3 linked regions of the Diceros bicornis minor genome follow. The protein of the gene in region 2 interacts with the protein of the main gene of each other region in a biochemical or structural test. Links are inferred from orthologs where the notes say so. Each region holds a gene or a part of one and is shown on either strand. Other genes may lie near its edges.

What was found.
Region 1: the proteins of CASK (region 2) and F11R form a complex in vitro, tested with the Homo sapiens proteins (2 studies listed by BioGRID and IntAct, with this or other methods). The link is inferred for Diceros bicornis minor from reciprocal best matches to the Homo sapiens genes CASK and F11R.
Region 3: the proteins of CASK (region 2) and SDC2 form a complex in vitro, tested with the Homo sapiens proteins (2 studies listed by BioGRID and IntAct, with this or other methods). The link is inferred for Diceros bicornis minor from reciprocal best matches to the Homo sapiens genes CASK and SDC2.

Annotation. Positions count from the first base shown.
Region 1 is NC_080743.1:67,618,072-67,621,816, forward strand, and holds the start of F11R (junctional adhesion molecule A), read right to left. Parts: upstream 2,872-3,745; 5' UTR 2,857-2,871; coding exon 2,640-2,856; intron 1-2,639. UniProt on the Homo sapiens protein: Seems to play a role in epithelial tight junction formation. Appears early in primordial forms of cell junctions and recruits PARD3.
Region 2 is NC_080781.1:36,526,850-36,530,594, reverse strand, and holds the start of CASK (peripheral plasma membrane protein CASK), read left to right. Parts: upstream 1-947; 5' UTR 948-1,512; coding exon 1,513-1,571; intron 1,572-3,745. UniProt on the Homo sapiens protein: Multidomain scaffolding Mg(2+)-independent protein kinase that catalyzes the phosphotransfer from ATP to proteins such as NRXN1, and plays a role in synaptic transmembrane protein anchoring and ion channel trafficking.
Region 3 is NC_080760.1:15,627,398-15,631,142, reverse strand, and holds the start of SDC2 (syndecan-2), read right to left. Parts: upstream 2,837-3,745; 5' UTR 2,419-2,836; coding exon 2,359-2,418; intron 1-2,358. UniProt on the Homo sapiens protein: Cell surface proteoglycan which regulates dendritic arbor morphogenesis.

The sequences.
Region 1 (3,745 bases), on a different chromosome or scaffold from region 2:
CTCTGTCACCAGTTTTGCTTTTCCCAAGCCCAGTTCTCCCAGTGTTGCACCTCGGATCCCTGCCTCAGCAGGCTCAGGCCTTCCTTTCCACTAGCATCCCCAGGCTGCGGCTGGGCCTCTGCTTGACTTGTTGATCATATCTTACTCTTTCTTCTTCCTCCTTGATGGCAGAGCCCACAATGAGGAGGAGCCCTGGAGGGAGGAGGGAGAGCACATGGGCATTCTGTATATACTTTCAATATCCCAAAGGCAGAGGACAGACTAGATGCTCAAGAGCAAGCCTCTGCTTTTTGACTCTTGCCATTTGGGATCTATCAGGGTCTCTCTCTTCTTTCTCTGACCTACTCTACCAGACACAGTATTCTTTCATCCTCACAAAATTCAAAGGGGATAACAGCTGCCTAATAATAAATAATCCCTTCATGTATACGTAATGTGGCTATTAGCCCGGTTCGTCCTCAGGACAGGTTTAGAACAAGTATTATTACTCTTTTTTACAGATGAAAAGACTGAGCTACTTTGCCGAAGATCACAAAGAAAGCAGAAAGCCAAGCTAGAACCCTAGTGGGGTGACCTTGCTCCTAGTCCCATCTTCATTATACTAATCAAATCACTTCCCCCCAGCTCTATCCTGATTTAAATGTGACAAGATCAGTTCCTCCACCCCTTCCCAGGACCCACTGTCTTGCCATGCTTACAAAACATCATCTTAGGCTCCCTCTGAACCACTGTTTCTTGATTCCCTGAACAGACTAGAGGACATCCCCAAGCTCAGAATGGTGCCATCAGTGCCAGTATGTGATTATTGTGTGATTATCACAATATAGAAAATTAGAGGGAAAGAAAAGAAGAGGGAAGGGGAGCAAGATGCAGCTCCAGGAAGCTTACAAGCCTGACAAGTACTGTCACAAATAGAGTCTCTGACTCAGAAACTTCTAGGTTTGTGGGGGAAAAGTACTAGCACAGTACAAGGGTTGGCAAAGTCTTTAGTGCTGAGCCACACAGAACCAAAAAATGACCATGGGTGTCACTTGCAGTTCTAAGATACAGGCAGAAGTAAGGGTGGGGGTAGGAAAAGAAAGGAAATCAAAAACAAGGGGGCGGGGGATGAAGGAGTAGAATGAAAGGGAGAAGTGGGAGAATAAAGAATCTAGTGGGAAAGAAAAATGGAAAAAAGTAAGTAAGATAGTGGACAGTATTCCAAACTGATGTTTGATATCATGGTTCCTGTGCCATAGGGTCCCTAAGATGCTGGATCCAGGAGTGGAAAAAGGATAATGGAGTCAGGAGACTTTGGTTCCATTCCCGGGACCTTTTGTCAATCTGGAAAAGTCATCTCCTCTCTTAGGACCTGTTTCCTTATCTGTACAATAGAGAGGATTAGACTTGCCTCTGGTCCACTCCACCCAAAGGGTTTACGTCTTTGTGATAAGGGACAAAGGACTAGTCAATCCATCTGTTTCAGGGCAGGGAATCTATTTCCACCCTTCAAAACTGAGCAAAATGAAATGCCTTATAATCACCGATATTGATTGTAAATGTTCATTTCTTTTACACTTCCTAAAATATGGACCCTGAGGAAAAAACAGCGATTCCTACAGAAGACATACTGACACAACTATCCACATAAGCACACGCACAGACACTCAAGAAGCAGACGGACACCTGTACAGGTGCTGACACAGGTTGACTGACCAAGGCATAAACCTTTCACTCAGCCCGGTACAAACACATCTATAGTCAGAGGCATGACCCAGCAAGCCAGCCTCATTGTTCCACAGAAAAGGGAGTTTACAAAAGAAACAAACACTCTCATACACGGCCAGGGGTAGGGCAGAGTTCTCACTGTGAGAAGGATCCAGCCAACCAACAGACAGGTCCTCCTCCTCCTGGGAATAGTCACTCAGTCAACAATATTTATTAAGGACTCTTAAGGCAGTTATTCCAGAAAGAAACTTTGAATGCTGTGCTCTGAGAAATTTCAGATTTCAGTCTTATTTCCTCTTCAGAGTTTGCACCCAGACACTTTTCCAGAGCAACCACGGCAAACCAAAGATCAGGGGGAGCTAAAGAGACCCCTTCAGGAGCAGCCAGGGAAAGAGACTTCCACCTCACCCCACCTCCACTAGATTTTCTCTGAGGACCCTCCAGGAGCAGAGCATCCAGGGCCAAGGAAGTCAGGGGGTGAGAGGCCCATGACTTCTCTTGGGTTGCTCGCAGACGTTGGAGGCGTATTGGAGAGGCAGAATGCCCTTCCCAGGTGCGTGTGGAGGGGGATGGCTGGGGAGACGTACGTGGGCAGGGCCCTCGCGCCCATCGGCCCTCACCAGTATGTGAGGATGGGGGAAAGTGGAACCAACCCCTCCCCGTTATTTTTGGTGTAAGTGCGGAAGGGGCAGCTCTCTCCGGGTGGATGTAAGGGGAGAGGTCACAACTCACTGATATGGGGGAGGGGAGCCAGCCACTCACTAGGGGGAGGGGGAGGGGAAAGAAGAGAAAGGAGCCAGAGGTGGAAAACAGGACTAGGAGGCTGGCAAGTTTCTGAACTCCTCCCCTCCCGTGGGCAAAGAGCGTGGGGAGTGCCTCCCTCCAACCTCTGACCCGACCCACCGATTCCTCCCGAAACTCCGGGAACTTACACAGAATCACTGATGTGAAGAGAAGCAACTGTTTCTTCCCGGCTTTCGCCTTTGTCCCCATCACGATCAGGATCCCGAAACGACAGCGGCCGCCAGAGCCCTGGGACAGACACAGCTTCACCCACTGCAGCGCGAGGACTAAACTCCAGCCGCCAGGTTGAGCCTCGCCCGGCCCTTCCCTCCACGCCCGATTGGTCGGCGCCCCGCCCCTGCACATTCCGATTGGTGGAGGCAGCCGCCGCTCGGTTGAGTGATTCACCGTCGCCAGGTGGGACTCCGCCCACTACTCCCCACTGGGGCGGATTGGCGCCTTTCCAAGCCAGAGCCGCCTCTGATTGGCCCAGAACACTGTCGCGTAAGGAGCCAATTCCTCACCTTCTGCAGGTGAGGACATCCGGATTGGGCGGCGTTCCTGAAGTAGGGATTTTCTGACTGGCTGGGTTCTGAGTTGGGGCTGGAGGACTAGAGGAATACCTAAAAGGAGGAGGTATGGAAGAGAGTCGTACTGCGGGGCTCGCGGAGACGGGCCTGATTTTGTTTTTTTGTTTGTTTGTTTGTTTGTATGTAAATTGCTGGGTGCTGCAGAAAACTTGGTCCCTTTGGCAAGTGAAAATCACATATTAATATGCGAGGGTTGGGGGAAAGGACCAGGAGAGAAGTGGAATGATACCTTAACACAACCCCCAAACTGTGTTCCTCTGTCGACCCCATTAGCAGCATACACAGGCTTTGAGAATTGGGCAGCGCAGAAAGGAGGAAAAGAAAAGGAGAGGGAAAAGAGAGGGGAAGGGAGCGGTCAACTCAAAAATGGGAAAAGCAGAATTACATTATCTCAGGAAGAACTTTAAACACATGTGCACCAAACACGCCCAGATAATACAAACTGACCTACAGATGCTTTATAAACATCATTGTGAGTGACTGCGGATATGTCCTTAACACGTTTGATCTGTCAGCAGGGCCCTACATTCCAGAATTATTTTTTTCTTCTCACTGTGACTAATAGTGGGGTGATGACTAAGACTCTCTTTCTATAGACTATGTTGATACTCAAGCTTTCTGTTAATATTTATATTGTTACATCATTTTTAGTTGAAACTCATGCC
Region 2 (3,745 bases):
CATCCACTCCTTCTAGTTGCATTTTTATCCTGACATATCTAACATTTATAGGGAGTTTAGGGAGCAGAGTAGATGCTGGGGGGCTTGGGGGCCTGTGGGGGGGAGATATACAAAGGGGCTTAAAGTTTCTGTGTGTCTCTGCCTTCCTGACCTCTATCGAGGCTGTCTCTAGTAGGGCAGGCGCTGGATAGATATTTGTTGTGTTTGGGGCAGAATGCAGGAGAAGCTGTCTCTATAAATTGCCATTTGTTGTCGCACGCCTTCCTGGACAGTTTTTGTTTGGTCCTTTACTCGTAGGTGGACGACCTCCCTTCCCCAGCCATTTTCACTAAGGAATGACAGAGTAGCTCTAAAAGCATCCGCCGCCCAGCACGGTCTGGAGTGACAACCTTGCCACCTCTCCTCTTGCTTTCCCATTCATTAGGACCCTTTCCCAGCCTCTTTCCCCAGCAACAACTGGGAAAGGCTTCCTGCGGTTACAAAACAAGCGGGGGAGCGGCTGAAGTTCCGAGTCTTTCGCCGCAGAGAGCTAAGAACGTGCGTTCAGTAGTGGACCTTTTGTCCCCAGCCCCTTCACCGGCTTGGTCGCGGAGGTGACGACCCCGACCAGCCCCCGCCTAAGCAGCTGCCGCCGGCGCGCCCCTGCGGGCCAACTCCCCGCCCCTTCTAGATTCCCGGCGCCTTCCCATTTTGCCGTGACGTGGCCGGCGGCGCGCGCATGCGCCGCTCAGCCCCGTTTCCTTTCCCTCGGCCACCGCCTCCCGACTGGCTGGGGTGGGCGGGGCCTGTGGTTCGGGAAGCCTCGCGGCCTTAGGGGGAGGAGGGCGTGTGTGCGCGAGGCGGGTGCGCGGGGCGCGCGAGCTGGTCGGCGGCTGAGGCGGAGGAGGAGGAGCTGAAGGAGGCGGCCGGGGCTCCCGCCCGCAGAGAGAGCCAGTCCCGCGAAGCCCCCTCCCACTCCCAGGCGGGCGGTGGCGGCGGGAGGAGGAGAAGGAGGAGGGAGCGTCTCTGCCGCCGCCTCCTGGTCCCCAGCGCTGATCTGCCGCCGCCACCTCCCTCCGCGGCGATCCTCCCTCCATGGTCCTGCCGCGGCCCCCTCTGTAGCCCGAGCTGCCCCACGCCGCGCCGGAGCCAGCCTCAGCAGAGGGAGCGGTCGCGGCCTCGCGGCCCGCGCGGGCTGACGAGCAGAGAGCGCGGCGCCGCGCGGTCCCCGAGGATCCGCACGCCGGGCAGCGCGGCCCGAGCAGCGCGAGGAGCAGCGGGCGGGCGGGCGGCGCCGGGCCCGGGCCGCCCTCGCTCCCGCGCCCCGGCCCCGCCGCCCGCGCCGGGGCGGTCGCCCGCAGAGGAAGGCGCCGCAGTCTCCGGGCCTCGCAGCCCCGCTCGAGCGTCCTCGGCTCCGAGGGCTCGCGGGTCCTGAGGGGAGGAGGCGAGCCAGGGGCCGGGCACTGAGCTCTTTGGCGCCCCCACCCCCGTTTTCGGAGCCCTCCACGCTGCGGCCGCTGTCCCCTCCGGACCATGGCCGACGACGACGTGCTGTTCGAGGATGTGTACGAGCTGTGCGAGGTGATCGGCAAGTGAGTCTTCACGCGAGGGAGCGGGAGTGTGGAAAAATGCATTTCAGTGATGCCCGGGTCCTCCCGCGCCCGCACCCGTTCCAGGCCTGCCCCCTGCCCTCCCTCCCCTCCGCCTCCCTTGTCCTCCTCACCCGGGAGTATTTATAGACGTGTACCTGGACCTTCTGCCGGGCGGGGGTCTGGGGGGGGTTCTCAGCGATCCGTGGAGGCGAACGAGCCGAGGTCAGCCACCCCATGAGGCGTGGGGCCGGCTGAAATCTGCTGTCTGCATTTTATCTGACGGTTGCACAGGGACGTGGCAGAACCGATTTTATAGTTGCTTCCTGGGAACAGTTGGGGTTATTGTTATCTCGCGTGTGGCACAAACCATTAACGAAAAGAGCAGCTTGCGTTTCCTTTACTTGCGTGGAAAGATAGAGAAAGAACGTCCAGGATTTTTAATTGTGGGGTGTGTGTCTATTGTGCAGGATATTAGATAGATGCCTTTGTGTTCACCCCTTGCCCGGATTGGAGGGGGTCATTTAAGACGGGGTGCGTTCAGTTTCAGCGAATTCCTCGCCTGGTATAGACGAACGTGGAAAGAGTTGGGGGTAGCCGAATTTTTAATGCCTCGTTATGCAATGACTGTAAATCAGTGTTCGAGTCTTCCCTCGACTGTTGTTGGGATGGTGGTTAGCGTGGTAGAGCCGTCTGCTTTGAGTCACCGGGCTGGTCTAGAATATAGAACTGACAGTCCAAATGCTCATCCTTTCATCTGTGTTGTATAATTACACTAGGGAAAAGCAGAGAATCAGATTAATCACAGTGCTGATTGAGAATTAAATCTGCAGTTCCTCATCTAATTGTCCATTCCTTAAATCTGTTTTGAATAGTTTCCTTTTCATTCTTGTCAAACAGTATTCCAAGTGCACAATCCTGCTAATTTGCTTGTGAAGGAAATGCTGGCGATCTGAAGTTGATTTCCTAGTTCAATGTGTATTCTGTGGCTTTGGAAGTTGAGGAGATAAGATTTAAGAGCAATTTTTGCTTATTTATTAAGGATTGCTAGATAGCTGCCATTGAAATATTTTACCTCATTTTGGAAGCGGTGCTTTATTGTCTGTTTTAAGGTCCGCAGTTGGGAAATGAAACCAAGACCTTAGAGCAGTTGGCTCGCTCTCTTTCAAGTTGTCTGCAGTACTGAATTTCAATTTGTTTAAGTGCTGATAAATCATTTTTTTCTTCCATGTTGAGGTATTTCAGTGTTGCCTCACTTGGTGAAATTGTGAGTAGAGCTTGCTACACACTTTCCTCAGACCCAGTTGATGCAAGGACATGTTACTCCTTGCCTCTATTGTTACATGACCAGCCTGTCTACTAGAAGAAGGAAATCCAAATGCACCCTGACAAAGTGGTTGTGGAAGTGCTCTAGAGCAGTGCTGTCCAAAAGCTATATAATGCCAGCTGCGTATGTAATTTTATATATGTAAATATTACATATGTAAATTTTCTAATAGCCACATTACAAAGATTAACAACAGAGGTGCAGTTAATTTTAATAAAATATTTTATTTAACCCAATAGATCCAAACTATTATCATTTCAACATGTAATCAGTATAGAAATTATTAATGAGATATTTTACATCCTTTCTTTCTTCTTTGAAATCCAATGTGTATTTTACACTAATAGCACATCTCAATCCTCATACAAAGCTAAATTTTCTTCAGAAATACTTGCTCTGTGTTTAGGTTTCATAAAATTTGCATTTGCAAAAGTAGATTCACATACCCAAGTTGTTCCAAACATACCTAAAAGTTTTCTGGTAACTGAATCGAGTATCTCTTTCTAAATTAAAATTTAAATTAGTTAAAATTAAATAGAATTACAAATTCAGTTCCTCAGTTGGACTAGCCACATTTCAAGTGCTCGATAGCCATATGTGAAGAGCACAGTTCTAGAGACAAATGTGTCAAAAAATCTCCTTGTTTTCTTCTTAGCACCCAGTGAAGGTAAATTAGGTGTTTCTCAAAAGCCCCTAAATGATTGTGTGTGTGTGGGTGAATGATGTTTGTTGTGTCTTAGTTATTTTTCATTTAAATGAGCCAGCAAAGTCATAATTGGAAAATGAGAGATTAAAATGTTAAGTATATTGTGATGATGGAATATAGCCATCATTGAATCAATATTAGTAA
Region 3 (3,745 bases), on a different chromosome or scaffold from region 2:
TTTCTGACTCCCAGGAAACAGTTGCAGTTTTCAAATTAAAATGTGAAGTACTGGAAATAATGTACTATAATGGCTAAATGTTGAAAAATTAAGTCTTTCAACTTTGCATAAATTTATGCTGCTATACATGAAACAGAGACTGAAAAGTAACTTAAATGGACTATTAGACATCCTGGGCTTTGAAACAGCTTCTATTGAGAAAGACTGACTCATTGCTTAACAAAGACTCTGCTCGAGTCTCCAAGTTGACATTTTAAAAATATCTAATCACCTTTTTGGATGATATTCCAATTACTGAAAACAGTATCTACCACAGTGAAGCAGCTCACTGGGGGAAACAGCCAATTTTGGTTGGAAATGAGAAATATTAAAGCCCTCAAGACACTGAGTTCAGAGGAAAGTTGTCACGGGGAGGACAGGTACAATTCAGCCAAAAAGCTGCCTTAAGGAGCGCTGTCGGATTTCCACAAAAACCCAAAGAGGCAGAAGATAGAGATACGCTTTCTCTAGCATCCCCAAACAGTAATATTTCTTAGCAAATCCCTGAACAGGACTCAGCAAAAGGACCTCCTGTACAGCTTTTTTAGGCAGGCTTCTCTTCAAAACCTTGAGATGGAGTTCTCCCTTTGCCCTGCTTTACAACAAGATGAGCAATAATGTTTTTCTGAAACATTATTTCAGAACCATCTCCCCCTTTTTTTGTACAACGAGCCAAAGTTCATAACTGACTGGGAGATTACCAATCCCAACGGATTACATGATCATTTGCCGAGGAGAAATACCGATAAGGCTCGGAGTTCTGTTTTACAGCCTAAGCACCCAAATACTCATCTACTCTGTCCAGTTTACAATTCTGCGTGCTCTCCAATCGCGGGTAACGTTTGGGGATGTGCCGGCACACAGAGGCTCCCACACTGATGAAAATACCCATCTGCTGCTCAGTGCCAAAGAGGTTTCCCAATCCTAAATCGCATCAACTCAAAAAATAAAGGGAGAAGGGAGAAAGGCGAGGTGGAAAATTTCACAAAACCACCTCTAAGGTGACATGACGTGTCTTCAATGAGATAGTTCAGTTATTTAGAAATGGAGACGTTATCAGGCGGCCAAGGGAGGAGATATGGGGAACGAGGAGGGACAGAAACAGCTGCCCTTCATAACCGGGGCCCCAGACGGCACTGAGGCTGCGGGCTGACCAGTGAGGGGCTTCCACCCAGCCGGACAAAGCTCGGGGTGCCCAGGTAGGGGCCGCCACCGACAAGGAGAAGCCCAGGAGGCAGTTCCCTTCAGAGGGCGCTCATTGGGCGATGTAGGGAAACACGCTCCAAACAGGACCCAAAGGAGGAGAAACCAAGTTCCCACAGCCCGGGCCGCGGAGGAAGGCTGGGTGCCGGCAGCCGGCCGCCGCCGGAGAAGAGACTCCTCCGGGCCTCGGATGCACTCCCGCCTGGGCCCGCGAGGGCGAGGGTGGCGGGCTGGAAGCCTCGGTCCCCGAGCGGCCAGGCGACCCGAGGCCAAGCGCAGTGTCACACGCACCCCGCCTCGCCCCGCATGCTGCACTCCAGAGCAATCCGTAGTAAAATGTCCTCCTGCCCCTAAGGGCCCGCGGCCGCCCTCCGCGCCTCCAGGAGGAGGGGGTCGCCGTAGCGCTGGGATTCCAGCGGCCGGCGCCCCAGCATTTTCCGTCGCGTTCCGCGCACCCCCCGCGGGACCGCGGACTGCGCCTCGGCGAGTAGCGTTTCCACGTAGTGTCTGCTACCTCGCCCCAGCCACGGGGAACATCAAACAAAAGAACTTTTGCAAACTTTCCTCTCCGGGCACTCTCGGGTTTCTTAAATCTGGGCCCCATCTCCCCAGCACTTGCATTCAATCCATTATAAGCTGGCGTGGGGGAATGGTGTGCGGAGGGAGGGACCCCCAAGTTTCCAGGTTGCTCCTGGGTCTTGGGGAGCGCGCAGGGTGCACCCCTTTCCTCGAAGGCCCTACCCGGGCTCCCGTCTCCGGCCACCGTTTCCCTCGGTCCTTCCCGGGCCAGGCAACAAGACCCTTCCGAGGGTGAAGAAGTTGGGAGTGACTTCAGGGGCCTCTGCGGTTAGACAAAACGGCGATTCTCGCGCCCTCATCCCCGGGGACTTCGGGGCAACTCCAGCGAGCGGCGCTTTTCTGCGGGAAGGGAAGGGGAAAAGGGGTGGAAGAGCGAGTGCGTTTGTCCCAGCAGATCCCGGGGGCCGAACGCCGCGTCTGGGGGTGGGGAGGTGGACTCCCCCAGGTGGCGCTCCCTGATTCCCCAAGGGCGCTGCAGACTCCGCTCGGCCTCGAGCACCCTAAACGGCGCGCGTGTCCCCCGCCTGGCTCACTCACCGACTCCGCCGACACGCAGGCCATCAAGCCCAAGGTGAACAGGATCCAAGCGCGCCGCATATTCCCCGGGGACCGGCTGCTCCCAGCCGACGCTTGCAACCAGGGCGAAACGAAGCCTCTTGCCCAGCGCCAGGCGCAGCCGCGCAGACAAATCCGGACCACACCAGCTGCAGCGACCGCAGCTCGGGCTCGGGGGCTCGAGCTCCGGACTCGGGGCGCTCGCTTGCTCCTCCTGCGCCTGCTCCCGCCGCCCGCGGCTGCGCCCCGGAACGCGGCTCCTTCTCACTTGTTGGTTTCTGCACTCCCGACGCTGAGGTGTCGCTCCCGGGCGGCTGCTCTCTGGAGCTCTTCTTGCTCGTGTTTTACTCCTCCGCGGACTCCTTCCCTGTGTCGCGGCTCAGTTTCTGATTCTGAGGAATAAATTAGATGGCTTGGAATGTAGCTGCAGATGAAGTTTGGGGGCAGAGCGGTGGGGGCGCGCAGTCGGCGCGGCTGGAGCTCCCGGAGTATCTGGAGGGAAGCGCGTCCGAGCGGGGCTGGTGGCTCAGCGGCTGCGCCCCTCCTCCTCTCGCGCGGCCGCCTCCCACCCCGGGTCCTCCTCCTCCTCCTCCTCCTCCTCTTCCTCTTCTCCTCCCGCTCCCTCCCTCCCTCCGTAGCCTGCTTCTCCGAGCTCCTCCGGGCGTCTGGGGGAGAGGAGGCGGCAGTGTGACTCCCAGCCAAACCTGGGAGAAATTCCTACAGGATTACGCCCCGATTGGCAGCTCCGGGGACCAGTGGGCGCCGGCGGCTCTGCGCTGTGGCCGCTCTAGGTCGGCTCGTCCGCAATCAATGCTCCGGGGCTCCAGGCGCCTTCCTTTTCTCGCTCCGTTTTTCCCTTCCTCCTCTCCCCACTTTTCCTCTCTCCTCCTCCGTGCTCTTTTCTTCTCTATTCTCTTCTCTTCACTTTCACTTTCTGGAGAAAGATCGTTGAAGCAACGAGAGACATAATTAGCTGGATATTTGCCTGCGAGAATTAGACCAGTAGAAAGAAACTGCTTTGAGAGTTGGAGAAAAACACACAAAGTTTACGGATGCCTTCAAGCAATGTATTCATAAATCGCCAGTTGATGAAAACTGTATTTTAAAAGAGAAGACAATAAATGTAATAAACGTGTATTAAGAGTATTTCCCACCCTCCCGAAAAGGGGAAGTGGAGGAAAACCCCGTAAACCCAAAATACAACACTTTCAAAGCTCATAGTTTCATTAAGAGCTTAAATACCATTTCTGCCTCACACACAGTTTAAGCCCCTAAGGCATTTTATAGGCTCCATTTCAGCATAGAGGTGTTAACATTCGGAAGCTACAAATAGGGCAATTTGGTGAGAAATTGGATAGAGACCCAGAAT